4 linked regions of the Drosophila melanogaster genome follow. The protein of the gene in region 1 interacts with the protein of each later gene in a pairwise test. Each region holds a gene or a part of one and is shown in the gene's direction. Other genes may lie near its edges.

The links.
Region 2: the proteins of CG34296 (region 1) and CG9331 interact in a two-hybrid assay, tested with the Drosophila melanogaster proteins (one large-scale study listed by BioGRID).
Region 3: the proteins of CG34296 (region 1) and CG6126 interact in a two-hybrid assay, tested with the Drosophila melanogaster proteins (one large-scale study listed by BioGRID).
Region 4: the proteins of CG34296 (region 1) and CG31522 interact in a two-hybrid assay, tested with the Drosophila melanogaster proteins (one large-scale study listed by BioGRID).

What each region holds. Positions count from the first base shown.
Region 1 is NT_033777.3:29,719,385-29,724,512, forward strand, and holds CG34296 (uncharacterized protein), read left to right. Parts: upstream 1-3,153; 5' UTR 3,154-3,174; coding exon 3,175-3,223; intron 3,224-3,279; coding exon 3,280-3,506; 3' UTR 3,507-3,629; downstream 3,630-5,128. Other genes in the region: CG15506 (uncharacterized protein), read left to right, coding at 1,773-2,048, 2,259-2,861; Pcd (pterin-4a-carbinolamine dehydratase), read left to right, coding at 3,845-3,972, 4,054-4,204, 4,463-4,762; Naa40 (N(alpha)-acetyltransferase 40), read right to left, coding at 4,818-5,055, 5,112-5,128.
Region 2 is NT_033779.5:20,821,063-20,829,611, forward strand, and holds CG9331 (uncharacterized protein), read left to right. Parts: upstream 1-2,579; 5' UTR 2,580-3,053; intron 3,054-3,371; exon of another isoform or gene 3,372-3,662; intron 3,663-4,209; 5' UTR 4,210-4,358; coding exon 4,359-4,450; exon of another isoform or gene 4,451-4,513; coding exon of another isoform or gene 4,514-4,605; coding exon 4,606-5,025; intron 5,026-5,570; coding exon 5,571-5,908; intron 5,909-5,969; coding exon 5,970-6,095; intron 6,096-6,434; coding exon 6,435-6,553; 3' UTR 6,554-6,662; downstream 6,663-8,549.
Region 3 is NT_033777.3:16,196,533-16,206,249, reverse strand, and holds CG6126 (uncharacterized protein), read left to right. Parts: upstream 1-3,166; 5' UTR 3,167-3,416; coding exon 3,417-3,459; intron 3,460-6,355; coding exon 6,356-6,990; intron 6,991-7,052; coding exon 7,053-8,042; 3' UTR 8,043-8,250; downstream 8,251-9,717. Other genes in the region: mtSSB (mitochondrial single stranded DNA-binding protein), read left to right, coding at 1,014-1,034, 1,102-1,189, 1,248-1,356, 1,714-1,936; CG31287 (uncharacterized protein), read right to left, coding at 2,036-2,242, 2,300-2,602, 2,657-2,815; sra (sarah), read right to left, coding at 9,335-9,717.
Region 4 is NT_033777.3:4,459,036-4,465,896, reverse strand, and holds the start of CG31522 (uncharacterized protein), read left to right. Parts: upstream 1-3,013; 5' UTR 3,014-3,270; exon of another isoform or gene 3,271-3,277; intron 3,278-6,861.

The sequences.
Region 1 (5,128 bases):
ACATGCAGTCGACTCTATGAACCAAGAGATTGGCTTAGAACCCACCAAAGGAATCACTTAAAATGGCAGTACTTTTAGTAATTTCACAAATATTACTATACGTTTATGCAGCAAAAGCGATTGAAGTGAAACATAGCATTCAATTAAATATTTAAATTTACTCATAAATGTAGTTCAAGCTTCTCTTTATTATCATGAAATTATCAACTCAGTACTTAATCTAATCTAACTACTTTGATTGAAAAACAAATAACAACAATTATGCAATTATAACACTGAACTATCTGTCAAACAATTAAGTTGCAAAGCACAAACTTTTAAAATCACTAGTCATTAGAATAATCTCTCAACTAACCGACGTGGTTTTAAGATCGTCTATGGGTCAAGTGGGTTCGTCACTCGATTCTCCCTCCTCCACTGAGTGACCGCCGAGTGACCACCCACCTGGATTTATCGGCACGCCACTGAGCCTATGGAAACACCCATGGCCAAGAGGCGACTCCGAGCCATTGAACCATTTGGAACTATCACTTTTAACGCGCATTACAATGGCACTCGAGGTGGCCCAATTTCGTGGCTTGGAGTGCACTTGATCACCGATTATTGTCTGCTGATTCGAGCCGAATCCATTTAATTTCACTGCTGCCAGATGCCCACGAGATCGAAAACGAAAACGAAATCGAAACTAGAAACTAGAAAATAAAAGGAAAAGGAAAAGCGTCGAAAATTGCTCCCTCGAAGCGAGTGAAAAGATCACGGCCATTGGGAGTGGGAGTGGGTGAGATGTGGAGGAAAGTCAAAGTGAAATGCTTGGAAAGCAAACCAAATTGCCAGTCAGTCACTTAGTCAGTCAGTCAGTCTCTTGGACCACAAACTCACAAACAACAATAGCAATAGGCGATCCAAGGAGGAGGGCGGCCCAGCCACACCCGACTTGGATGTCTGGGTAATCCAATAGCGGCAATTAGAGTGCCGCCCCCGGGGATCCGGAGATCGGGGGATCGAGATCAGAAACGCGGTCACAGTTCCGCAGATCGCCCCAGTGCATTTCCATGCTCCAGTACCAGCTGCAGTGCCATTACCATCAAACCTCCTCCATGGGCAACTCGTCTAACCGGACCTAGACTCCATCTCTCCGAGGAAATGCCTTTGCCATAGCTCCACTTGAACCCATGCACTGGCAAAAGAATTGGTTCTCAATAGAAGATGGAATGTAGAAATGAAGTATGCCTTAACCTTTTCAAGTGAACGATGTACACGTTCTGAATAGACTTTTTTCGCTCAGTGTAAGAGGTAGCAGCGCCGTCCGGTTCGATCGGCTACTCCGTAATCCAATTAAAGGAACAATCTACATTTCAATTCAAAACTAATGAAGTGTAGAGAATTCGCAACAAAGGCTGACATGTGTTGATTGTTTCGACGACTGCAGTGCTGGTATTTGAAAGTCGTGGGTTTCTTCTGACTCCATATAGTCCATACAGACACGTAATACCTGGCTTTTTAAAGCCATTACTAACAAGCTTCCCTGTAGAGCACCCAGAGTTCCAGCTGCACAACTTCCGTCCAGCACAAGCACACATTGTGCGTAGTCCAAACAATTCATTGATTGATTGTCGATATGGCGATCAATTAGACAGATTATGGTTTTCATTGATCGCCATCCAGCAGCAGTAGTGACAAACCCAGGGACAGCTGTCAATGGTCACTTGTATCTACTTCTATATGCACAATATATAAACGCCGACTTCGATTTCGATTTCTATTCTCGGCAGCACACCATTTTGATTCTCCTACTGCTACTGGGACTTGTTCTGTGGACCGATTCCTCGCTGGCCGCCCGTCGCCTGAGGAAGAAGCCCAAGGTCTACAACGCTCTCATCACCACCGACGACAACCTGACCTCCAGCCGCGCCTATCCGGTCATCCAGCCCACCATTCACGAGCCGGGCTACGCCCCCTTTGGACCCTACAATCCCTACGGATTCTACAGTCCGCCGATTGTGAGATTCGGCCAACCGATTGTCCCGGGATTGACGCCAAATGAGAGGGTGAGCTTATGGGTTTCATTAAGTTGCTAACACTGATAAACTTAGCGAAATATTTCGCAAGATTAAATTACTGCTAGCTATAATAAGACAATGATTAATTTAATAATAGGTATCATAAAAAGCTCACTCTAGAAATCTCTGACTAGAGCAATGAACCGCACTCAAAAAAGAAATATAGTAGTTTAAACTATTGAAACCTTAATATTACAGCTCCCTTACCCTCTGCCATCTGCCGCCCAGTATCCCGCTGGCTATGCTCCATATGAACCCCAACAACCGGTGGAGGCGCCAGTGGAGCAGCAGCCGCAGTCGGCGTCGCCACCCGGAACCGTGGAGCGCCAGGAGATGCCCAAGGAGCAGATGCCAGTGCCGTTGAATCAGCAGGGATTGCCGCCCGTGCTGATACCACTGCCCTCCCAGTTCAGAGGCCAACCCATGCACCTGCCACCGTATCCTTACAGCCAGTATCCAGTGATCTATGACCAAGCGGGCTTCATAAGGCAGAACTACTTGCCGCCGTACGACTACTATCCCAGCCAGGGTTATCCCCTGCGGGCAGCCACTTTGCCGCGCGCGGAGCAGGAACAGCCACTGAATCCCGTCCAGAGTCCACCTTCGCCACAGCCACTTCCCCTGGAGAATCTGGAGCCGGCGCAGCCCAGTTTCGAGGACATTCGCAACGGTTCGGAGAGCAAAAACAGCGCGGTGCCGGATGTTCCACCTCCGCCAATACCCTCCGGACCCAAGCGTCCACGGCCCGCGGAACCGGAACCGGAACCGGAAGCGGAACGCAAACCGGAAACGGACAACTGATTGCGGGCTGACCAAAATTCCACACACGTATTTATTACCATTTCGCTTAGGCATAATATCGATTCGATTGTACAATGTCGCCTTAACCCGTAAGCTAAAGTAAGAGTTCATTCAGAGATAACGAATAAAAAACATAAAATCGCACTGGCGGTGATTGAACTTGGATGGATGTTCCCCAGTTCCCCAGGGAAACCAGGGGACGATTTCGCTTTCGTCGGGGAATTGGGAGCCGTTTATCTCAGCTCTGATGGGACTATAAAGGCAGTCGAGTTGCCGGGAAAAGTTACAGTTAACATCGAAAGGGGAACTCAGAATGAAGCTGGCCCTGCTCCTGATCCTCTGCTGTTGCCTCATCGGAATGGGTGAGCTACAACTTTGGTCTTTGGATACCCAATGAATAACAATATCCAATATGCAGCGATTGGTGACTCGGTTTTGGTGACCAAGCCGCCGTTCATTCGCAGTCGCTATAGCTTGCGTTGGAGGAAGACAACCACTGTGGCGCCTGAAGTGGTCACTGGATCCAGTGGATCAACCGTTAACACGGTCACCACCACCGACCATCCCAAGCTGGCCACTTCCACCGCCAGTTCGGATTACGACTATTACGGAAATGGGGAGACGGAGAATGTGGTGCACAAGTAATAGTCATATTCCAGCCATATGACTATATATTAACACTTGATATAATCAGAGCGACTTTAATGTCATAACAATGTAAGAGAAGGCCATTTAATAAATAAACTGTATGTCAAATCTCTAGAAATCAATAAGAAATCCAATAAGAAATCTAAATTCAAATTACGCGGCATTAGACTTTATAACAGTTATGTTGCTAGCAGACGTTGTCAAAACAAGTTGGCAGTTTTTACAGCTCCATGTTAACTCAATGTTAGCTAACATACGACACAAGTCAGCTGTTCCGCGCCGACAGCAACAGCAACAAAAACAGCAGCTAAGAACAAACGAGTTTTGGATCGAAAATGTTGTTAACAATTAAATGCGCTCAGAATGTGATTAAGCCGAACTGCCAGAAAGTGGCCAATCTGCTTGCCAGCAGCCGCAGAGCTGGTTTATTCCCCACAACTGCAACAACAGCAACGAGTAGAAGGTATTCAAAAGGTGGAATGTGCGGAAGGGGAGGGAGGGGCAAAAATACCAAACTTAAATCTGAGCTTTATTTTTCGCGCAGCCTGTCGCAAATCTCAGTTCTGTATTCGCCAGCAGCGAGAGAAGCAGCACGGGCAGCAACTGGTGGCAGTGCGAATCTCCGGAGAATCCACAACACCCCAACCACAGAAGCAACAGCAACCGCAATCACAGCGAAAAAGCGCAAAATGGTGGTAAGTACGAGCCGAAAGTGAGTTTGAGATCAAGGTGAACGGAGTCTCAGCGAAATCGAGTGGTTCCCTTATCGCCTCCAACTGAAATCAATCGACCACCCAAGGACAGGTTTGGACTTTCGGAAAGTGCTTTATGCCCTAACAAATAGAATCACTGTGATTTTGGCCAGAAATGGAGGTTTTTCGCTCACAAATTATTTTGTATATATATCGTATGAATCAATAACACTCACATACTTGTTGCTCGCTGCCCTTTAGGTACGACTAAACGAACAGGAACGCGCCGAGAAGCTGCAGCCCCTCCTGGACGCCGGCTGGACTTTGGTGGAGGGGCGCGACGCCATCTTCAAGCAGTTCGTGCTGAAGGACTTCAACCAGGCCTTCAGCTTCATGACGGGCGTGGCATTGCTGGCCGAGAAGATCAACCACCATCCCGAGTGGTTCAACTGCTACAACAAGGTGGACGTGACCCTGTCCACGCACGACGTGGGCGGTCTCAGTTCGCAGGACATTCGCATGGCCACGCACTTGGAGACCACGGCCAATTTGTTGAAATAAACGCATTGTTATACTAGTTGCTAAATATCTATAATCTTCGGTGTCCAATAAATACTCAGCTTAGCATCGATTTGCTAAAGATTTGGTAGTCGGCTTGTTCCAGGACATCTGGCGAGATCTCGTCCTTGACGTAGCCCAGTTGCTTGAAGAAGGAAATGGAGGCTTCGTTGTTGTTGAGAACGGTCAGCATGACCTTTTCCAGATGCCACAGGCGAGCGCAGTCCTCCAAAGTGCTCATGATGAACTTTCCCAGGCCTTTTCTACGATACTCTGCAGCCACTTGCATTTCGTAACTGAAAGGAAGTTCTACGTAATTAATGCATAAGGGCTTTACTTATGGAATACCCACCAATACAGGACACAGTC
Region 2 (8,549 bases), on another chromosome or scaffold:
TCGTGTGTAGCGTACATCAAAATTGTGGACAATACTTTCTTCAGTGAAATAAGAATAATCAAGATTGAGTGCGAAGCCCCATAGTAAAATATAAACATTGAAACACAATATGGTCTAGACTTCCACCAAATCGAATAAAAAGGTGCCCAACGCAAAAACAGGTTTTTTGTTTGAGCTTAAGAAACATACATATGTATGTACATATGCCGCGAGCATGGGTCAATTTAACACCCCACCCCCCCCCACCCCTCTGCAGTGACCCTGGACGTGTTCCCAATTCTTAACCGCAAGCAAGTGCAGCGAAAACAAAACACTTGCATTCCCATAATTATCATGTGTGGTAAGCAACGGGGACTGCTGCAACACAAAAACCAAGCAGCAGAGACATGTAAATTAAGACCCGTGCCTGACGTCAGTCAATGTTAACATCATTACAAAGCCAACAGAGCTGGATTAGCTACCTAAGTATGTTGGTATATATGTATATACACAAGTACACACTTCCATGAGCAACTGAAATCTGGGGAATGACTACAGTGGTACTTTACTAGTTTGCTAGTCTCTTTTCAGTTTAGTGCTTACTGTTACAGAGGACGCACTGTACTTGCACATATGCAAGTGCACATCAACTCCCACGCTCACCAACTCTACTTGTCTCTCTCTCTTCTAGAGCTCGTGGTGGAGCTCACTCCCGCTCCCGCTCTCGTGCTCGTTATATTCATAGAGCTGTGCCGTGTGTAGGCACCGCCATCGACTTGGGGCCCACCACCACACGCGCAGACACACAGACACAGCTCGCTCTCGCTTTTTGTCTTCCGTCGGGTTATCTCGCTGCTGGCGACTCTGGGCGCCTGTTCCGTTATATCGCGTAGAGGGACCTGCCTCAATGTTGCGCGTCAATTTTAGGGAGCCTACACCATAAAAATCGGTGACGGTTGGCCACTTTTTTTGTGGCCCGGCACGTCCCACTTTTTTTTCATCTTGGCCTTCTCGACAGGCCGTTGAGTGGAGTTGGGCGCTCCAAAAGCGCCTGCGCGGAGTGCGCGACGCCTCGCTTTGCAGCTTTGTCGCTCGGCCGCCATTTGCGATTCCCGCTGCTGGTGTCGCCAAATATGAAGCAAGCAGAATGCGGCGCAAGCAGTACGGATATGTTTGTGGATGCTGCTTAGGTGTCTGCAACTTGCCCTTGACAGTTGACTTTAACCCGCTGAGTGCTGTGCGAAGGCAATCCCAATCTTACCTTGTGAATGCAATTAGCAAGGTTCTAAGTTCTAAGTTAAAATGTTTGTAAATTACTTTTTAAGAAATGTGAACAAGTACTACAATGTGTATTTTTGGTGACACATTAACTTTTATTGCATTAAGCATTATCAGGAATAGTGCTTAGAAGTGCCTAAAAGTATGCCCACTTTGTTCTTAGTTGGGAACTGAACTAAGTAAACGTTTTCATTTTCAGTTTCCGATTATATCGAAACTGTAGTAATTTATTAGCCTAAAACGAAGACCTAGTGTTAGGCTTTCTAATATCCCAACTTATAAATATTATTTACATACATATGTACATATGTACATTGTATTTTCATATGTTCAGTGGAGAGATCGAGAGATGCGCTTCTCAAATTCCATTTTTTCCGTTATACCCCGTCTTTCACTGTCCGCCTCCACTATCTCTATCTCTCCGCATTTTCTCTTCTCTGTCCGCCGCACACACTCTCGTTGGCGTCTGTCTGCTGTCATCAGTTGCTGATTACTTGTTCACCAAACCGCAGTTTAGCGCTGGCAATGCCGGCGGCAGCAGACGTAACGACGACGACGGTCGCGTCTGATAGACAGCTGTCTCCAATTGGAATGTTGTCTCCGGTTACGTCAGTCAAAATGACGCATCGTGTTTTGGTAACAGGAAAGCATAAAAGCGAGAAGAGCACCAATGTGCGGCACTCTGCTGCACAATGGCCGCGAAACAAAAGAACAAGGCACGAAGAAAATGTGTAAACCGTTGTGGGGGACGAAGAAAAAGCAGGCACAGACGCTGCGCCGCGTCACGACAACAAAAAAATCCACCCTCGCACAAAGCGCTAATATTTTGTTGGTTTTTCGTTTCGCTTTCAATTAGGCAGAGTGCAGTGTCTGGGCCAAATCTCAAAGGTAAGAGGAAGTGCACAACTTTCAGTGAAGCCAATCTAGGCAAACAAAAAGCCAAACTGTCCGTTTCGATATTTCACTAGAGCGGTATTATGGTTAAAACTATGTTAAAATAGTTCTATACTTAAATCGTAAATCAGTAAAATTTAGATTAGTCAATTTTCGTATAGTAACAATATCAATAATTTTATTGTTTTTAACATTTGGAATATCTTATAAATATGTATATGTATTATCATGTCTATGAATATATTCAGTTCTAACCAGTAAAATATTTGATTACTCCTTACACGTAGACGTAAAGTAATTTAGTATTTTGTTTTAAGTTTCTGTGCCTTTTGTCGGAAGTTCTAGCTAGTTAATTCGCGCATCACTGCCAGCGACGCTAACGCCAACGCGAACGGTTCTTGCCGCCGCTTTCACACAGACGAAAAAGCGCAGTGTGCGTTGGCCAACGCTGTGCGCCTGCTGTTCTGCGGACAAAATTTGAGCAGATCCGCTCACAAAAAAACGTACTTAACTGCGAAATAGTGCTGGTCGTGTAGGTTCCACGTTCCAACCGACTGCAGTGCTTTGGCTCCATGGCACCACGGCTAAATGGCCAAATGGCTCCACTGCTCCGGTGGCTCCAACTGCGGTGGTGCCCATTCCAGTTGGAAATTGCATGCGAGCACATGGGAAAAGTCCCCAACTGGTATTTCGAGCAGGCGCACAGCTTTCCCAACTGCTCACTCTCCCAAAGAGTTCCGTCTCTGTCTCGTTCGCACCGATAAGGAGCCTTTCGAGATAAGCAGCTGGAAAGGGACGGACTGATGGTAGCGGCAAAGCGCAGTGTGCAACGACAGAAAGGGATGCCCAATGATGGTCTAATCGGAGGGGGAATCGCTGATCGCTGATAGTACTGGAATCTGGTTGATATAACCCCAATATTATGTTAAAGAGTGAACTACATTTTTAACTGAGATTTTAGTGAGTTTCCGGCCTTTAAGGGGTGTATTTTTACGATAATAAAAGTTTGTTAGATCGCATATTGTTTTAAATATTTCATATATGTTATTTTATTTTAACGAATTTATACAATTGACTTCAAAAATATCTGTGCACCATTCCATAAAATGTAAACCGAATTAATATGTTGAAAATTACTCTCGTATTAACTCTTTTTTGGGAATTGATAATTCATTTGCGATACGATATGAGTTCTATATAAGGCTTAAGCTTTGGGGCCAATACTTCAGTCGTGCGGCAAACGCAAAGCTGAAAAGTATTCTAGTTCTATAGATCTCACGGTAAGAGAAAGTATAAAGTCTAAATAAGAGAACATAAAAATGAAATCGGATTGCGAGCTTTTATTGCATAGCCAATGGAAAAAAGTTTTAGTTAAATTTTCACGTCGGGTGCGTTTGGAGGCAGAGTGTAGCATAGTGTAAAGAACAAATTAATAATAATATAATAAAGTAGTTCTCTTGTGACATTTGGTGTCGTAAACAGTTTGGTTAAGAGAGTTTTTAAGAGTGACGGTTTGTTCTTTGGTGACATTGAGTGTAATTAATATCAAAATATTACTGTGGGTTTTTCCATTCCCTCCCACAAACAAACAAACAATGCTAAAAAACCATCAAATTGTCAAAAGTGTTGAGTGGAATGAGTCGTGGAAAAATGATTAGATGCGAACATATCTGAAAGTTTTTGCTCGCGGAATTTCGCCATAAAAATCTCGTGCGTCTGTGCGGAGATAGCGACCGTATAACCGCGAAATTTAAGTACTTTAAAAAACATGGGAGATAGATGTATTTTAGCTACTCGAAATTATTGACCGCAGTATATAATCGTATTTCCACTGAAATAATTGTCTCTGTTTTTTAGCCAAAATAATTGGCTCTTAGTCTTTGATAAATTCATCTATGTTTCGTAATTTTTTCATTACGCTCCACATGTTAAGTAAAATTAAACTTAATTTTAGAATGTTTATTTTTGCCAAATGTTATTGTTATTAACCCAGAAATAATCTTGCACCGTTCCTGATTATTGAATCCACTTCGATAAAACTCCAATATTATACCTTAGTTCTCGAACCAGCAAACCAGTTGTGCGTCTTATACATACGCCGTAGGAGAGACTGAGACTCACATCAGCTGCTCGGCGGCTTGAACGCCTACAGACATACATACATACGTACATACATATATAGGGAGAGATTTAGAGCGCGGATTATAATGCTAAACAGGTTCATTGGTTTATCGGCTGCGATCGTGGGTCGGAGCAGTCGGATCAGCGGCTTTCCGTTCTCGCCGCTCCTTAAAGCTGGGTGCGTATGCCGCTTGAGAGTTCAGTCGCTCGCGAAACACGACTTCGATCGCAATACTTCGAGATGAGATCGATTGCCACCAACTCCCTGCTGCCACTGATTGTGGCCTTGCTGATCGCCGGTAGTAATGCCTCCCTCCCACGCAGGGGCAGCAGAAATCAAAGCCAGAATCGCACCATGTCCGCTGGCAAGGCTTTCAAGGTCCTGGTGACACATCCCGAGGTTCCCCAGGAGGGCATTGATCTGCTGAAGGAGAACTGCGAGATCGTCCAGGTGCAGAGTGTTCCCATCAACCGGGCGGAGCTGCTGGAGAAAATCCGTGGCGTGGATGGCGTTCTCTGGGGTGGACACGAACCCCTCAATGCCGAGGCCCTCGATGCTGCCGGTCCCCAGCTGAAATCCATCTCCACCATGTCGGCGGGAATCGACTACGTCGATGTGCCGGAGGTAAAGAGACGTAAGATCCCGCTGGGACACACGCCCACCGTTCTCAACACCGCCGTGGCCGATTTGGCAGTGGGTCTCCTGATCGCCGCCAGTCGCCGTTTTCACGAGGGTCGCAAGACCATCGACAAGTGAGTACCACTAGTTGGTTAGTTGTGTTTGTGATGATTCATATACTTACAGAATTAATTTGAGCAATGACAAAAATAGAGTAAACCGAAATTATAATTGTCATAATTATTATTATAATTAAGCTAAACTAGGGACACTTTATTTTCAACTTAGTGTGGCCGTGAAATGTATACGCATGAATTCTCGATTAAAATTGCAAGCCGGTTCTTAAGAATACCGCCTGTCCGCTCGTCTGTCGCTTGCACTTTTGCTCTATAGCGCTCACAAGTGGACAAAGCATTATCATCAATAGGTTTTGGCTCCTCACATGCATAATGTAAAATTCTAAAGTATTGACTTTCGATTTATCTACAAACAAAAGGTACGAGCAGTTTATGTAACCGCCGCTAGGTGGCGGTGCAATAAAAAAAAGTTTTTTTTATCTTCATCTTAGCTTAGTAACAGGCATTTATCAGTATCTCGAGTATCTACAAGTATATTATATATTTTGGAAATATTCATATATCTTTCAATTTCTTAATTTGTATCTTTTGCGTTCTAAAAGTGACAAGTGGGAAAACTACCATCTTAACTGGCTGTTGGGCCAGGATATTCGTGATTCCACCGTGGGATTCTACGGCTTTGGAGGCATTGGTCAGGCTATTGCCAAGCGTTTGTCTGGATTCGACATTGACAAGGTGCTGTACACCACCCGTCGTCGTGTTCACAAGGAGATCGAGGAGGAGTTCAATGCCAAGAAAGTTGACTTCGATACCCTTCTGGCCGAGAGTGACTTCGTAGTGATCGCTTCTCCTTTGACGAAGGACACACAGGGCGTCTTTAATGCCACCGCCTTCAACAAGATGAAGCAGACTGCTGTGCTGGTTAACATTGCCAGGGGCAGTAAGTTACCAGTATTAATTGGGATTCTCGACCGATTTTAACTATTTATTTTATTCCTCAGAAATCGTCAACCAGGATGACCTCTACGAGGCTTTGAAAGCCAACCGAATCTTTTCCGCCGGACTCGACGTCACGGATCCGGAACCATTGTCGCCCAAGGACAAGCTGCTGACGCTTGACAATGTTGGTGAGTGGGAAAATGAAAATAATGTTGTAGTTTATTGATATCAGTCCTCAGGCCCACACCTAGCAAATACTCGTATTTCTGGCCCCTTATCAATATAAAGATTTTGACTTATCTCTTCAGTGGTTGACAATGACTAAAAGTATTTTGAAATTAATGGAATCTTTAAGGTTTCTTGAAGGTTACAAATAAATAGGGTAACGTTTATTCTTTCCATGTTTTATCTAATTTCTGCGTCCTTGTTGACCTCTATAATTCCCTTCTTTTGTTGATTTATTAAAACATTGTTATCTTGGTTTGTGTAATCGTATCTTGAACTAACCACTTGATGTGTTCTTTTAGTTGTCCTGCCCCATATTGGATCCGCCACGAAGCGCACCCGTGCCGACATGTCCACCATTGCTGCCCATAATGTGCTCCGCGGTTTGGCTGGGGAGCCCATGTTGTCGCCCGCCTACTAGTAAATTCAAATGGGAAATATGGCTTTCTACCGCTAACCAGTTTGGAATGTCCGCCAAACAAAGTGCGAAAGGCCGCCGATGACCTTGGCATGCCAGTAGATGTGAAAATAAAAAAAACAATTAAAAAACAAGTATTTGCTGTTGCAAATTTATTAAATTAAATATGTGGGAATCTAATCTATACCGTAAGATTAGCTCAACTGATTAATATGGAATAGGTAAAGCAATAGAATAATTGGTGCTAGAGAATGAGAAACATAATTTAAATACTAATATAGTATATCGTAGGAAATAATATTGTACGTTTTAAGAAATGAGAGCAGAAAACATTGATTTAGTAATTCGCAAAGTTTAGCTCTGCACAATTGCAAAACCTACCACTTTTCCCCAAAATGTATCGAGGACCTTCAAACTGCTGATTTCGCATCCAAAAGTCCCAGGAACGGCTGCGGGAGCTTGTCGGATCAGGATCGGAATAGGATCATCGCTTCTTAAAACTGGGTGCTTATGCCGCTTGAGAGTTCGCTCGCGAAACCCGACTTCGGTTGTAGTTTTTCAACCTGCTCCCACTGATTATGGCTTTGCTGATCGAATATAATAATTGAAGGCCCCTGGGCATGGCCCGTTGGTTTCAAGGTGCTGGGGGCGAATCCCAGGGATTACTATGTGGGCATTTATCTGCAGAAAGAGAACTGCAACTGCAACTGCTGCAACCAGCAAGAAAGCAGACCGGCGACTGAGCAGGACAGTAGCCCCATAAGGCAGTGGCTCTAAATGAATACTGCCCCCAGCTGACTACGCCGATGTGCCGGAAGTCAAGAGGTGCAAAGTCCCCTGTCAACAACGACGTGGTCGATTTGGCAGTGGGTTCGAGTCGTCGTTTCCACAAGTGATCCAAGAGGATGTACACCATGTTGTACAGTAAAGGATGTAGTAGTATATTAAATTGAACGATTAATCAGTATACCTGTTACTCCAAAAGTAAACGGTATACTTCTTTCAAAAATAAGTAACGGGAAGAAGAAAACGTTTTCATTGCATACAAGTATATGTCTGTCCTTTCGAACAACTCGATCTCAGGACATAAAGCATTTTTAATTTTTCAAAAATATGTATGTAACAGTTGTGGGCGTGGCAACGATTTGAAACAATCTTTTGCAGCGTAGACGTAATCTGTATGCCTAATCTAAAGATTACAGCTTTTTATAGTTCCTGTAGGCTATTGATATCAGTCCTAGTTGCTTTTAGGGCCCCCACCTAACAAATACTCGTACTTCTGGCCCCTTATCAGTATAAAGATTTTTGTCTTATCTCTTTAGTGGTTGACAGACAGTGTCTAAAAGTATTTTGGCAAGATTTCATTAAGGTTTCTTGAAGGTTACAAATGAGTAGGTTAACGTTTTTGCTGTTTAGTTTTATCATGTTTCTGCGTAAATGTTGATCTTTAATGTCACCTTTTTAGTTGATTTATTTAAAGATCGTTATTTTTGCATAACTTTCAGTTGTCCTGCCGCATATTGTGGCACCATTACTACCTATAATGTGATTCGTGGCTTGGCTGGGGATCCCATGTACCTAGTTGCCCACCTACTATTACATTTAAATGGGTTTAGCCGCATCCCAGTAAATGTGAAATAGAGTAAAAAAACATTTTCCTGATGCAAATTGATTAATTAATGTGGAAATCTAATCTAATGGTATAGTTTGACTGATTACTACGAAATATGTATGAAAATCGCTCATAGAAACGTAAATAAATAATGACTTTAATTATATAAAGCTATATATAAATAATCAATTTTATAATTGTAAACTTTTCTTTTTACTGTAATACTTTAATACTATCCCTAAAAATTGTATAGGAACGCGCAGGAAATAGTAATGTGAATTTCAAGAGATGAGAGCAAATTAAAATGTAAAAGCTTAAGAGAACCTTTTAAGCCTAAGAGCGGGGCACAGAAAAAGCTTGAATTGTCATTTCGAAAATTTCCACTTA
Region 3 (9,717 bases), about 14 Mb from region 1:
CGTTTCGGGGACGCCTCTCGGGTGTCCAGGTTTTTATTAGCACCCGACTAACGGACACTTGTCCGCTCGCTCTTCTTCCTCAGCAACTGCAGCTCAAACAAAGCCGCCAGCCGGTAACTAATTTTCAAAAAAGCCAAGATGATGACTACTCGTGGTTGGAGCGAGCTTAAGCTGTCTTTCTTGCATCCTGTTCGAGGTTGTAAAGTTGAAATCTTTGTGCATTATATTTGCGTTATTGAGTGAATGTTTAGATGCACACTGTATACTATTTTTTTGATAGTATATTCTTGAATAAAAAACAAATTAAGGGGTTGGGGAACTAAAGTAAAATTTCTTATATTATGAAAAATGTAAACAATTTGCGTGCATACAAATTTAAATAAAGTTTATTTTTCTAAACATTATAATTGTACCGAAAACACTACATGTCCAGCTTATTCAACTTACATTGATATGAAATCATTGATATTTCTTCTTTTTCTTAACCCTTAGCTTATTTTAAATGAAATAAGTACTTAATTTATTAAGTATTTAATCAAAGAGGTCACAGTGGCGCCCTCAGCATTTGCTTATTGAGATGGTGAACTAATGGAAATTGCCTACTATCAGTTGTGCTTAGTGTGCGTCCACCTTTTGGTTGAAATAAGCAACTATACAATGTAGTATCATCGCCACCTTTGGCTGTTATTTTGAACTATACACAGCTGACCGCTAACGTCCTCTTTTGGCCTATGATTGAACTAGATAGTTTCTTTTGTATTCCGCAAGGGACAATATGCGGCGAATTCACTCCGTGTGGCGAATTCAATCTCCAAAAGCGGATTTATACACCAAAATTAATAAATAATAATAAAAAAACATTTTTTTTATATACTTGCGAGTAGCATTTCAAGTCAATATATAAAATAAGAAATAATGTTGATATGCGATATTTCGTATTAAAAACTATCGCGATAAAAGTTTACATATCGTAAATATCATCGATACATCGATATTTTATTAATACAATCAAGATGCAACACACAAGGCGCATGGTAAGTAATATTATTAAAAAGCCGGTAAATTGCAAAATACAATGAACAAACATGTTATTTTTTTTAGCTGAATCCTCTGTTGACCGGCCTGCGAAATTTGCCGGCACGCGGGGCAACAACAACAACGGCAGCGGCTCCCGCCAAAGTTGAAAAAAGTGAGTATTTCTTAGGTTTAGTTATGAAATTGAATTAATTTTGAATAAATAACCACAGCTGTCAACACGGTGACCATTTTGGGACGAGTTGGCGCCGATCCGCAGCTGCGTGGATCCCAGGAGCATCCGGTGGTCACCTTTTCGGTTGCTACACACACCAACTACAAGTAAGTGCATTTGTGTGCGTTTTGCCGCCCAGCATGCGTCTGCAACTGAACTTGAAATCACATCTCAGAGGAGGGAAATAAAAAAGCTACATAAATGTTGACAATTAAGTTAGTTCTTAGCCTTAACCTCCAAGAAAATATCACGTTGAGCTGCTAATTCAGATTTATGTAATGAGTTATTAGAACATTTGCTGTATGTAATTACCTAATGATAACGGCAATAGTGTACATTTCCTTGTTCAATTAACTTCAGTGATCAATTTCTTCTTAGGATCCATGAAATGCCGGATTTCATAAAGAAAATAGCTACCATTTCATTTAAAAAGCATTCATGAAGTCTTAAATATTTCCCCACAGATATGAGAACGGCGACTGGGCCCAACGCACCGACTGGCATCGTGTAGTGGTGTTCAAGCCCAATCTGCGTGACACCGTGCTGGAATACTTGAAGAAGGGACAGCGAACCATGGTGCAGGGAAAGATCACCTATGGAGAGATCACCGACCAGCAGGGCAACCAGAAGACTAGCACCAGTATCATAGCCGACGATGTGTTGTTTTTCCGTGATGCCAACAACTAAAATTTAAGCCCAGATCACCAAACCTAATCTTAAGCGAAAAGTTGAACTTGCAGCATTGTAAGCATTTATAATATTCGTTGGATATATTGTGTTATCAGATTACATGCGTAGTCGTACTCCACATGTGTCTTTTGGTTTTAACTCCTTGACCTTTTTGCATGGGAACGGTGCGTTGAATTGGCGTGCATGTTCGTTATAAAGCTGCTCGAACTCCTTTTGAACTTGTGTGACCTGGCTCTTCAATTTTTCGATATTTTTTTCCATAGACTCCAGTGTATTATTGTGGTAATCGATAAGCTTGGTTACCTGTTGATACACTCACTTTAGAAACTCTAAATACAACTTTTAGTCATCATTTCATACCAAATTTACGGAAGGTACTTTTGCGGATATCTGCTCATTATACGTCGCGACCTCCTCTTTGATCTGATTGCAATGATCGACTGTTTTTTTCGAAGACATCAGCATACTCAGCAAATCCTGATATGTGGTACTTGCCAAAGGAAACACTTGGCCTGCCAGACTCTCAGGACTCGGATAGCTCTGCTCCAATTTCGTAACTGCTTTCTCCGCCTGTATAAGGTTAATCTCGTTTTCATGCAGCTCCATTTCTACCCTAAGCATGGTGCACTTTACTGATCTCAGGGTATCATCGATGGGAAGTGCCTGTTGGAGTATGAAAAATTTATATCCTGTTTGCCTATGGCCATTGAGTCTCACATTTTTGGCATTGTCTAGGCAAATTTGTTCCTGTTCCTTAAGAAATTTTAACTTGGTATTGAAATCTGATTCCATTTCAAGGCTGTCCTGCATTAAAATATCCGCCAGCATATCCAAGTACAGGAATGTCGACGGATCTGATAAGTTTGGCTCACACATAATTTTAAAATTAACTTTAAATGAATTTTATGTATTTTTTGTATGTGTTTTTGTGACTTATGTTTTGTTTGTCACTGAGTGTTAGGCAAATCAAAGCTTGCTAAGGTATGAGTTTTCTGATCGTATTCTAATCTAAGGGATCCTTGCCAAGAGGCATCATTTATTTTCATACATCAAGGATTATAATGGTGATTACAGTTTTTGAAGCTCTTACCCTCGAGCAGAGTTTGCTCTTTAGTTCCCAACTTTGGAGACCTCCACAAGCTCTCTTCGCTCGCGAGCTTGGAGCGACCTTATCGCCATTTACCACTCAGTTTTCTCGCTGAGCGACACAGTTCGCAGTTAGTTTTTGCCAGTTCAAATGCTGCCGGCGGTCGGAAGAGTTGATAGCTGATCGAGCGCTCCGTTTGCGATTTTGTTTCACTCGAGCACGTTGTTTATCCCGGATTCGTTTTGCATCTTCGCGACCCGTAACTATCAGCAGTGCTGCACTGGTGTGCCATTCATACATGCTCCACTTCTGCAGAAGATGACGATTTGTTAAGAAGCAATAGCAAACAGTTACTTTCATTTATTTTTGATTATCAATAAAAAATCAAACATGGCTGTGGATTATGTACTGGAGGACCTGATGGGGAAACTTGGTGAGTGGAATGGGCTTTTGGGAGCGAAGACTTTTGAAAGGTCAGCTGTTACGTTGCCAGGCGTCTCCATCCCGTGCTGATAAGAGCCTGGCGTTATGCTTATCATTTTGAGAGGTCTTATCAGCGTTGCAAGCTACTATGGATAATATTTTGTTTCACGACGACCAATGAGGTTTACCGCCCAACCTTCTGTTCTGCTTTTAAAATCTATAATTAATTTTTCCGTATTATGCTTTTAATCTCCGCCTAATCTATCCGGCTGGCTGTCCGTCACGTCAAGTGCTCAAAAGAAGCCGACTATAATACTTTTTTAATTGCAACTATTTTCATTTTCATTTTGCACTATTCTTAATTTAATAAATCGTCGAGGCCACCAAGTGACAGACATTTATGACAGCTTGATAGAGACTCCGACCTGTTGCTCCCCTTTTGACTATATACCATACCAAGTATGTATTTATGTACACATATAGTCGACACATGTTCGTGTGGGCCAAGTTCTGAGCTGGAGGCTGTCTGACACTTGTTGAGCCTACTTGGCTTTAGCACAGTGACGCTAAAACGAGTGTGGCGGCTAACAGGCAAACAAAAATAAAACGGGTGCAAAAGGGGCGGTATCTGTCACAAGACTGTGAAGTAGGCTCGTCATAAAGATCTTGGGATCTACGGATATCTGGGTATTTGCTTATAATTTATTATATACTCTAATTGTGCGGTTCAAACATTGCAGCTAGCTTGTGGAAGCTACAAAATTAAGCGTGTTTATATGCAGTATGCAAAATAGTTAAGATTAATTGTGGGAATACAGTGGAAGATCGATGGATAAACAGTTTTATTTGTCACGGCTACAAATTAGAAATTTATGAGTCACATAAAATATGAGTTGGAATATAAAATTTGTGTCAACGATTGTGCTGAAATTGTCGTTAATTAAAATAGAACAGTTTTTTACAATCCGAAACTGGTTTTGTATTAAGCATTCGCAAAACCGCAGCCTATAAGAAAGTGACAGGAGAGAGGGAGTAATAATCGCATTAGCGACTTTTTTATTCGTAATATATTCGCATACATTTGTATCTGTGAAATGCAAAAAACCTTAAACTGGTTTGCTCACATTCAACTATATGGCAATACCTCCCTCAGCCATCAAAATTCACATATCGCTCTTTTATTTCTGTTTACTTTGTTGAAGGCCTATTGGCGAGCAGCAACTCTAATTACTTCGAATTTGGAGGCGTGTTGCATTGCTGAGTTGGTTGTTATTTGTACGTAAGAAGGTTACCATAAAACCAGCAACTTAAAATGACTTTGAGAGCACTTCCACACGTGCTATGTGGAGAGCACAGAACAGAACTAAATCGACCTTCAGTTGTTAGTAAACGCGGGAAGTGAAAATGTTGAAGTACGGATGAACAAAAACCGAAGGAAGCCTTAAAGTGGAGGTGTAAAACCATGATCTACCTCAATTATTCGAATCATGATACTTAAGCACAAAGGAAATTTTAAAAGCTTTGAAGAAATCAACTCTGAAATAAAGCAACAGTTGATAGTAGAATAACAGTAGATTAATATACATGTGCAATATTGTTAGAAATATGACTGCATTATTTTTTAATATTCCGTGTTCTTATCCATCTCACTTATCGCTCAAAAAGTTTGCCCAGAATAAACAACGGTCCAAACCTGCGCCATATTCATTTTAATGTGCAAACTGTTGGTTTTGTACATCATAATAGATGGCTTACGATTAAGAGAACAACAAACATTGACAGGGCCAAAAACAAATGTCGTATTCAAGGGCCACTTGGCAACAATTATACGGCTAGTTATATTGGACGGATGCAATAAATCTGAAGCAACAATATCACTGATATATGATCTAGCATTTGGTGGCCTCTGATAATCCGCTATGAGTTCCACATTAGTATTTACTATTACGAGTTTAGTTATCACAAATTTGGCCAATCGATTTCCTAGATTGTGCTCAATTATACGCTGATTATGTCTATTGGGGGCGTAATTGAATTTCATTAGGCGTAGAGTCAAATTTTATAATTGAGATTAATTAAGTCAACCCGATGACATAATTTTACACTTCACGCAATCGTTTTAATAATGAAAAATGAAAATTCTCAGACGTTTTACTCATGATTTGTCGATTGCAACGTAACCGGGGTGAACGTAACTTTTCATTTGATGGCAAGAGTTTCGTTTAAACGATCAATAAACGTAACCCACAAATCAATTGAAACGGCTGATTGAACATTGGACCGTGATCAAGTGTCAAATTCTCGTATCTAGGCTACATACTGTCCATGTCGTTAGAAATTTACACAGCCCCTGGCCTCCCATCAACGCGATCGCCATGGACTGACTGACCAGCCAAGTCATAATCGATTCAGTGCATTCTCCCAAGACATCCGAGTCTCTTTTCATGGCGTTCGAAACCAAAACCAAACCAAACCAAACTGTGGGCAAATATTTGACGGGCTAGGCGAATGCGCTTCAATTGAAATCGAATTGAATAAATTCCACTTGATTTAATTGCAAAGCCTTTGGAGTGACGACAATTCCAGCGATACCCATTAAAAGTTCCCATCTACATAAAAGTCGGCTGTTTCTTTGGGTTGTGTTTTTATCGCAGCTACGTGATGTTCAAATTCAAATACTGAAATAAAAAACCGTTTTAAATAATTTGAGCTAGAACAACTTCCGTTTTCAGCTCAACTTACTTTCTTTTTATTATATTTAATCGTAAACTGGGTGATTCATGGGTGCTACAGATTATCACTATCTATCATGTTGCTGAAAGCTCACATTTGTTGTGCGCTCATAACCTTTCCCAAGACATTAATGATTGTGAAATGTCTTTCTATTTTTTTCTATCCAATTGCAGGGGAGTTTGGAAAGTACCAGTTCCTGCAGTTCTTCCTGCAGGTGCTCTCCGGCCTGACCGCTGGCATGCACATGCTATCGCTGGTCACGGTGGCCGCCGTGCCTGAGCATCGCTGCTTCATCGAGGGCGTGGATAACAGCAGCTTGTCGGTGACACCATGGAACTCGAGCGCTATCCTGGCCGCCATTCCGCTGAAGCCCAATGGCGAGCTAGAGTCCTGCCTCATGTTCGATCCCAGTAGTCCTGGCACCAATACCACCATCAATTGCGAACGTTACGTATACGACACGACGTACTACAAGACTTCGCGCACCATCGACTGGAACTTTGTGTGCGATCGCCGCTGGATGGGAGCCATTGTGCAGACCGTGTTCATGCTGGGCGTGTTCACAGGCGCAGTCACCCTTGGCGGACTCGCCGACAAAGTGGGTCGGAAAACCGTGTTCTGCTGGTCGGCCCTGTTCCAATTGATCATCGGTGTGGGTGTGGCCTTCATTCCCGAGTACTTCTCATTCATGGTGGCTCGCTACCTGCTGGGCATTGTGGGATCAGCGGGTGCCTACATCTGTGGGTTCGTGCTGACCATGGAACTGGTGGGACCTACCAAGCGTACTGTGTGCGGCATTACCTTCCAGGTGAGGAAGACTTCAATAGATTTTGCATTTTTTAAACTGGCTATACCATGCAATACTTTTAGGCTGTTTTCGCTGGTGGCATCATGTTGGTGGCCGGATGGGGAGCACTCATCCCTGACCGCCAGTGGCTCCAAGTGATCTACGGACTGCATGGCTGTCTGTTCCTGGGCCACTGGTGGTGGCTCGATGAATCTCCGCGCTGGCTGTGGATGCAGGGACGTGCCGCCGAGGCGGTGGATATTGTGGCCAAGGGCCTGAGAATCAACGGATCGGGCATCCCGGTGGACAAGGAGTACTATGTGCAGAAAGCCAAACAGCAGGCGGCGGCCGAAGAAAAATCCAGCGCCGGATTGAGCGACCTCTTCCGCACGCCCAACTTGAGGATGAAGACTTTGAACGTGTGCCTCTGCTGGTTCGCCAATTCTCTGGTTTATTACGGACTATCGCTCAGTGCCGGCAAGCTGTATGGAAATCCCTACCTGATCCTGTTCATCATGGGCCTCGTGGAGTTCCCCAGCTACATAACCATTGTGTTCGTCCTAGATCGCCTGGGTCGTCGATCGATCACCTCCACCCTGATGTTGGGTGGCGGTCTATGCTGCATTGTGGCCGCCTACATTGCCCAGGGCAGCACCACCTCCACGGCGGTGGTAATGGCAGGAAAGCTCCTCATCGCCGGTTCCTTTGCCGTAATCTACAATTACTCAGCCGAACTGTTTCCCACCGTGGTGCGGAACTCGGCCATGGGATTGGGATCGATGTGTGCCCGTTTGTCGGGAGCCCTTACTCCGCTCATTACATTGCTGGACTCATTTGATCCGAAGATACCGGCCGTGCTGTTCGGCGTGGTGGCCCTGATCTCGGGCTTCTGGGTTATGTTCCTGCCGGAGACAATGAACCAGCCCATGCCCGAGTCCATTGAGGATGGAGAGAACTTCGGAAAGGGAGATACTTGGTTCAGTCAGTGTGCTGGTCGCAAAAAGCGCCAGAATAGCGTATATCCCGACGATCCGGAGCAAATGGTGCCGCTCAAGAACATCGAGAGCAAGTAGAACCTAGCCAAAGACGATTGTTTCCCAAGTCCAAAATCCAGCTTAAATTCCTTGTTACCCTGTGTTTTCTTGTTAAGAATTCTACTCTTCTGCCTAGTAGTAAGATTTAATAGTTTCTATTCATTCCAAGCGAATAAAACGATGTGCAGAATATGGGGAATCCTAATTTGTGGATTCACTCATTTCTGAGTGTCCCTTTGTTGTTTGTACGGATTTTTTCTTTTAATTTTTTCGGTGGTAAAATTTAGTTTAAAGGAAATTTAAATGCTTGACGAGCATTTTTACTGATTAGTGTTGTCTACTTTTAGGCTCTATCAATTTAGGCGCAGATTCATAGCTTGAATTTCAATTTTCTCTACGGTAAAACCAGTACACACCAAAAAATTATTTCCCAACTATTTCCAATTAAAGTTTATTCTCCGACCGACACAGCCAATTCGGGTTCGTCTGGCCTTGCAAAGTTTCAGTAATTTCCACTCAATTGCACTATCGAATTGCCAATTGCCGACAGGGATTTCCAATGTCAAATCCATAACCCATCGCTTCCCTTTGCTCCACATGATGTTTAACCCGCCAATTAAAGTTTGTTTAAAGAGAGAGTTTTGGTTTTTCGGTTTTTGTTTCTTGTTTGGTAATTCTTCATTTTGTTTTGTTTGGTACATTTGAGAACATTCATTTCGAATTTGAATATATTTTCAATTTAAATTTTAACTACACGTAGGCATATAGATTTATAAACGTATGTATGTGTATGCCGATATCTGATGCGATATCGTTACACGATTTCGCTGGCTTAGAATTACATTAACATTTACATAGATATAGTAGCTTTATATCTGGGATTTCGGATCGCGGTTCTCGGTAGCGCCTCTGTCAGCGATTTCCCGTCGAAGGTACACAGAGATATATGTAGATATTGTTAGCAGGTATTTGCGATGGCTTAACATCAATATTCTTACACATAGACACACTCAAATCGCGAGATAAACACATCTAGATGCGGTTGTTAGCCAATGAACTTGTATCAGAAGCCAACTGGGGTAAATGCTACGCTTGAAGGAAGGGTGGGAAAGTATGTCGGGTATGGGAGTTCGAGTGCCTATTAATACAAACATACGAACGTAGCTAAATATATGTATGTGTAAATTAATCACAATTGAATCGGAAAATATTTACAAAAAATACTCAATCGAAGCCCCAACCATCCGCAGAGCATGAGTCCCAACCCGTTGTCCCGATCGTTTGGTTTTACAACTCAGGTTTTCAGCTTTAGTTTCGTCACCACCTTATGATTATGCCCGTTCCGGGCACTTGGTCTGGACAATTGGCGCCTTCACCTGCAGTCCCGGCCCGGTCTCCGCCAGCATGGCCGTGTGCACAATAATGGCCGGCTGGTCCTCGCTCTGAGGATGCAGCTCGTGCGACTCGCCGGGTGTGAGGCTAGCCAACGCGGCCAAAAGATCATGGTTGACCAGTGGCTCGCCTTCCTCGCGCGGCTCCCAGCCGGCTGGCGGCGAAGCGGGCGGGGAGATGAGGAACTGTTTGACCGGCGCCGGTGGCTGCAGGTTCTTGTTGCTGACCGGTGTCACCGGCTGGGCAAAGTAGCAGGTGATAACCGTCTTCTTGTTAAACTCGTACTGGTGCAGCTTGATTCGCGCATTTGCCGCCGCAATGG
Region 4 (6,861 bases), about 25 Mb from region 1:
CCCAGACCTCCCCTTGGCCTTCCTGGACAATTGTGACAACTAAACGGACGACCGGACCGAAGATCACACTATAGTCAGACAAGAAAGAGTGACAAAGATCATGGAGATAAAGCTTTTATACTGTAAGTGCAAACCGGCTTAAGGACGAAGACAATCAGTTTATTAGTTGGTTGCCGACCAATGTAAATGAATCTTAACAAAAGTTTTCAACTATTTTCGCATTGCATTGAACCTCTTTTTGGTGTGGCTCATATATATTACTTTATTACTACCTATTCAATATCCGCTTGTTTCCATTTTTGGTTTGAAGTTGTTAAACGGTTTTTCAGCGCAGTGAGAAGTATTGGTGACAAATTATTTGTAAGTGTAATTCTGTCTGTTAATCCGTGCGTATGGTTTCGTTGTTAGATTATGTGGCTTAAGCTGACAAGTTCAAAAACTATAGAAAACCTAAATAAAGCTTTTTAATTTATATTAAAACTGTTCAAGAAAATATTTCAATTGTATTAACGCATATTTTGTACGTGTGTATAACTTTCATGACGGGATTGAATCCCTGGGGCCAGTGTACAGTGTAATTGTTAATAAACGAACACATTAAGTGTATTCCCACTTATAACTGATAATTAGAGGCTTTAGAGCCTCTGAGGGTGTGGCAATTGACCCATGTGGCCTATCCCCTAATGAGATTGGACATTGTTTCAGAGAAATACAAGGCATCTTGCCAGCCACGAAAATCTAGAAATAATAAAGGCTTTAAAATAATGCCTTTACTATCAGATGCCTGTTGCTTACTTAACAAAATTTCCGAGAATGGGTCAAGTGTAATATTTTATTTACAAGTCACATATTAATTTACAAATTCTACCGAATTAATATTGCATACACCAGGCCTAACACCTGATGTGCCTTTTGAACTTTTAATAAAAAAGAACTCTTGAAATAATCGCATTAGGAATTACGCTGAGCATGAATCAAATTTCACATTTCCCACTTTATACGACCAAGTAGTGAACCAAATCATAAATATTTTATGAATTACATGAATATTCCAAATAAAACTATATTATATTTATTAAACCAATAACACTATATTATAGGATATATTTAGTGTCTCCCTCCACAAGAAAAGTCCTTTGAACTACGTCGTTGCTAAGTTTTAACTTTAATTTAAGAACTCCTTGCGACGTTTATAACTTAAACCGCAACGAGAAAGGAAGTTAGCCTTGCACCTGTAGCTTATTTGCGTCTGCAGTACTATGACGTCATTTTCAGAATTAAAGGGTATATATGTAGATTCGTTGAAAAGAAAGAAATTTAAAGCGGTTATGGTAGTCCGATCTTAGCGTAAAAGATCAAGCGATTACATACCAAGACTTTGAGAAAAGTAAAAAAAAATTTGGCTGAGCCCCACTACCAAACATATGTTAAAATTAAATTGGAACCTTTTGGGCGTCTTGTTCGTCCCTTAAAAAGCATTTTTTGAAATACTTTACCTAAGCCCATAATTTGTGCTACATGTCATTAAAAACGCGTTTGCAAATGATTATTTGCTTTTCACAATTGTTTTGTCTCAAACAACAGATTAAAATGTAATACCCATTACCCGTAGAGTCAAAGGGTAGACTATAGGTAGGCAGTTTATGTTCTTTTCTGACTCGATAAAGAACATATTACTTCATCAGGACCAATAGACCGTATAAACGTCAAGATCTCTCTTGTTTTTTTTTTTACGATGATCGTTGAACGCTCGGCTGTGCAAAAGTGCAGAAACGTACCAAACAATCGAAAAAATCAAATAACAATACAGATTGCCACTGACTTAATGTACAAATGGGCCAGTACTTAATAGACGCGTACTAATTTTTGGCAAACAAATCCGCTAACAGGCGGCGACAGCTGGGCTGTACAGGCTAATATTTAAGCCCCTCTTGACCTTGTCGGCTCTCGACTCTTGCCGCATCAGCCGGACAGGGCGCGATGTTAGCCAAGTTGACATAACTTAATGCATCATAATGCACCGGCGTATTTGGAGCTGGAGCTGCGACGGAGACTATCGGCACTTCAGGCTAGTGTTAGCGTTAGATAATAATAACTATTTCCCAGCTCACTTTGGCACGCGCCCTTTGATGCGTTGTGACCAAACACTGAACCCTGACCAATTATCAATTGTATTATTACTACCAAGTATCCGAATTTCGTTTACAAGGAATGAACTTTGGAGAATTAAAAAAACTGTTGGAAAAAAACTATTAATTCAGGCAAAAGCTGCGAGTAACGACCGCTATAAAAATAAAACCCCTATTTTCTTAAATACTATCGATTTGGAACATATAATTGTAGGATAATTAGACAATAAATCTTAAGTCACCCCATATTTTGCGAAAACTCTTTCATCATGTTCCAAGCAATTCTTAATTGTTGGTCATACGGTTGGCCCAAAGTTTCGAATAAGGCCGTATATCTGTGCGTATCCATGATTATAAGCCAGATCACCTACACGGGCAGGAATCGTACGCCTCGTAATTAACATGGATGATTTAACGCTGTGAAAGGCCAGGTATCGGGGCTGTTCGGAAGTTCACTCCATGTAATATTTACTCGCTGGCAGTGTGCGATTGCTATTGCGACGGTAGCCACACTTGAACCTTGCCTGCGCCGCTGACATCAGACAAAAAAAAACAAGGTTCGGGTTCAGATTTGGGTCTTGGGTTCGGGATCTCCGGATCTGAATCGAGTCGCATCATTCCCGGTGTCCGGGAATAGCCAAGAGCCAATCAGGCCATTTGCCATCTTCGTGCACTGCACTTGACGCTCGGCGGCGGAAAGTTTTCGCACTGCACTCGGTCGGTGCTTGCCGCTGACCGTAACGTTTCCACCGCAGCCGCTGCGCTGCCAGTGGCGTTCTTCCCTGCGCTGGCGCTCGCGGTTGCGCCTGCGCCTCCGCTTCGTCGGCGTCGCGCGATCCGCGTTTAATTAGCCGCGCGGCGCGATCGCGGCTCAGTTTTCATTCAGAAGTCAAGCGCGCGCTAATCGCAGACGCAGTCACCGATCCCGTGTGCGAAAGCCGAAAGCCAAGAGCCAAAAGCTATTGCGAAAGTAATCATTTTACAAAGTTCTTTGGCAACACTTTGTGAAATAGTTCGGGCCGCGCAATTTGTGTGTTGTGGTTTTTGCAGTTTTTAGTTTTCAGATTTCGGTTGCCAGCGATTTACCAACCGAGCTGCTGCTGGCCGCCTTCCGTTGCGGATTTCGAGCTGTTTGCAAGTGGTAAGCTGTAAGTTGTTCGCACATGTGATTTTTGTTTTTCGCTCTTTTGCAACTGCGCGGCGCTTGGTCCGTTCACAATAAGCATTTTGGACGGCGCTCTCCACGCCAAAACACCTCCCCGCTCTGGCCAATCTGCCCGGCTATAAGGCGCAGATCGTCCGAGCTAATCGATTTGACTGGCCAATCGGGCTGTTCGATCCGGTGTTTCCAATGGTGTGGCAACCCTGCCATTTGGCGGTTGCACAAAATCAGCTTGCGTGGGGCATTTGATTCCCAGCGAGGATCCGATGCTGAGGACCTCTGGAGAATCCTCGACGTGTGGTCGCAGGCGGGATTCCGGCGGGATTTAGCCCTGGCCTGACTGGCAGCGCAGCGGCAGACCACGAACAGCTGGGCGGATTTGTATGCTGTTTGAGCAGCTGTTCTGGTTTCTGGACTGTTGACTCCCAATATACCGATAGGTTTTGTTTTGCTGACCCCTCGAGATAATGCATAAGAATTAGCCAGCATCGTAAAGCTTTTCACCGTTGACATTGGGTCCAAAGTAGCAGAAGCGCAATTAGTGCGCCCTTCGCGAATAATTGCCAGAGTTTTTCTTGCACTAAAAATATACAAAATGGTAATCCAAGGCAACTCGAAACAAGTGCGGAAACGATTCGCACAAAACCGGATCTGCAATGACCCGATTTTGGCCTTGGACTTGTCGCAGGGCATCCTGATCGTGGCAAAAAGTTTCCTTGAGTGTTTCCCAGTCAGGCGAGGTGGTCGAACGAAAACCGCTTCTGGGACCGACTTTCGAGGTCTTGTGACTTACTGATCGATAATGGGATAATGGTAGTGAATGGCTCCAGATCGACGATCGCTTCCGCGTTGGCTGTAATTGGACATCATAAATTGAACCGCCCAGAAGGGCTTGCTCATTGTTCTTACCCGGACTGGAGCCACTCAGGCGCTCCTCGGCGGATGCCACTAAGGTGGCAAATACTTTCAAACAGTAAGCTGGGATTTCGCTTTCCGTATTTACATATGCAAACCATTTGGGTTTTTTTCGCGCTCACCGTTCTTCAAATGCCACGCACGTAGCCGCGTTTCCAGCGAATTTACAGGCTACACGCCAATCCCCTGAGATCGCAGATCCGAGATCTGAGGCCCGACTCTCAAGAAGCCTCAAGAAGCCTCAGCCAAAACTTACCCAAACATTAAATCGCTCAACGCTCGCCGGCGTGGCCGCAGCTCTGGCTCACACCGCTTACTCTCTACTTATAAATAATTTAAACACAAAAGTTTGTTTGTCTAGAAGAGGATCTCGCTTCCACATCGAATAGCGCAATGGGGCGTGCTAACAACTGCGATTTGCGGAAGCCAAGTGTTAGGAAAAGAGCCGTAAACGTTTACATTTACGTGAAAGTATACCTTTATATGTATACTATTGTTTGCTATTATGTTTGCTATTGAATGCATTACAAACGGTTTAAATGTATTGATAAATACAAAATAGAAGGGCATACACTTTTGTCTGACTCCCATTATATATATATATATATGCATATGCATATATATGCATATATATACTTCTACCGACCATAAAAGCCACTAACCGATAGATAGGCCGCCGCTTGAATACCAAAATGTCTTGGGCAGTTTTCGAATATTTTAAACAATTACTACATTACAGTTAAGCGCCAATAACAATACCCGTACAATTCCTGGATTAAAGCAAGATTTCGTATCTTAATCTGGTAGCAATCCAGTTTGTACAATACGAACATTTTGTATATAAACTTTATAAAAAACACCTCCAAATATGTGGGATTAAAGTGACGATGACACTTCTCAAGTCCTAAAATGGCAATTAGTTAAACTTTTTTTTAACAAATTTTGCAGACAAACACATTTTGGAAAATGTCATTCAAATCTTGTTTTATAAATACAAGAATTATAACTAGAATTGCTCCCCCTTCTTCCTAGCTAATCATCATTCAACAAGAGATTTAAATCATCAAAAGATTATTCGATCACGATATACATAAATGGCTCTGATCAGACTCTCGGTTCTCATCGTCACTACGTAAACTGCCATCCACAGCGATGTTAGGGGACTTTACTTGGGATAAGCACACGTACCTACTTATAATGTCAATTGGAAGACAGCGTTTTGCAGTGACTAATGAAAACAATTAACAGAATTTCGTCCGCCTATGTCTGCGACGTGTACGGCATTAAAAATATTCCAGAAGCAACAACACTATCAGCCACATCTCCGCACTTTAGACAGAAGATACTCACAACTTGTTCATGACACTAAAACAAGTTGAGACATCACCTAGCTTGCACTTCGGTTTGCATTACCTTAGTTCTGCTTTGAGTTTCAACTTCCCCGATTTGATTCGACAAACTGGAGTAACTAGCGTAACTAGACTTACTCTACTCTAACTAGAGTTTACAACAGCAGTCTTTGAAACCCCGGGAAATTAGTTAAATAGCTTGTCAGTAAATTGACTTAATTAGTGAGCCGAAGCGCGAACAGCAAAACGAAAAGGAGCTGCAATATGCCCAATAAGACTAACATTTAGAAGAACACCACAAATTGATCGTTATAAGAAACTTCCGTTTCAGAAATATAAGTCCAATACCATGGTTAAGTATTCCTTATGGTTTTCGAGACTAGGGTACATTCCTTATAAATTCCTAATTAATTATTATACACAATACTTGTAGGGTAGACCTGAACTTGAAATGTATTTGATAGAAAGCATATCTTCGACGCTTTATTTTCTTTTTGTTTCCGGAATTCTATTATGTTTTGATAATTTCTAAGGTAGCCGAAGACAATTTAAAAATGTATCCTTCGCAATCCTCCGTATATATGTACATATGTATGTGTATTCGAACAAAGACTAGGCAGTCGAACTAGCCAAGTTCATCTGGACTTCCTTTAGCTGGGTAATAGGTATCTGATAGTCAGGAACTCGATGAAAGTGATTACTCTTGTTTTTATAAAATGCTGAAAGCATTGTTTGTTTGGCCAAATTGTGGGAAATAAATATCAGCCAATATGGTTTAATAGAAACAAGTTAGTTAACACACTTCGTGTAAATGCAATTCAAGCAAGATCAATAGAAAATGTTTAGAATGTGCTTACACCTCGTTACACTTAGCAAACAGGTTGGGAACTTAATGCTAGAATTGATTGAAATCGATTGATTTCAGGCTTTCCGTAGCTACCTTAGTAGAGTCAACAGCTTTTCACATGGTAATTATTTCCGCGTGGAATTGCAGTCGCGTTGCATGCAAATAATTCGGAATGAATTAATTAGGCGAAATTCAAGTTGTCCCGGAAGCAAACAGGCAATAGGGCGGAAAAGGCCGATCCAGCGAGTAGCATTGAGATCGGGCTTTGCCTTGACATGGCGAAAATATGAGTGATCAGACCTGCCCAAATTACTGACTAATATGTCCAAAACAAAAGGCAATTGTACTCGGATACGACGCATTTGCGCTGCTCGTTTTAATGAACATTTTTCGCGCCAGCGCGGTTACTTTACTCGCAATAAATCTGTCAACAAAGCACTGACTTCTCACTCGAGGATT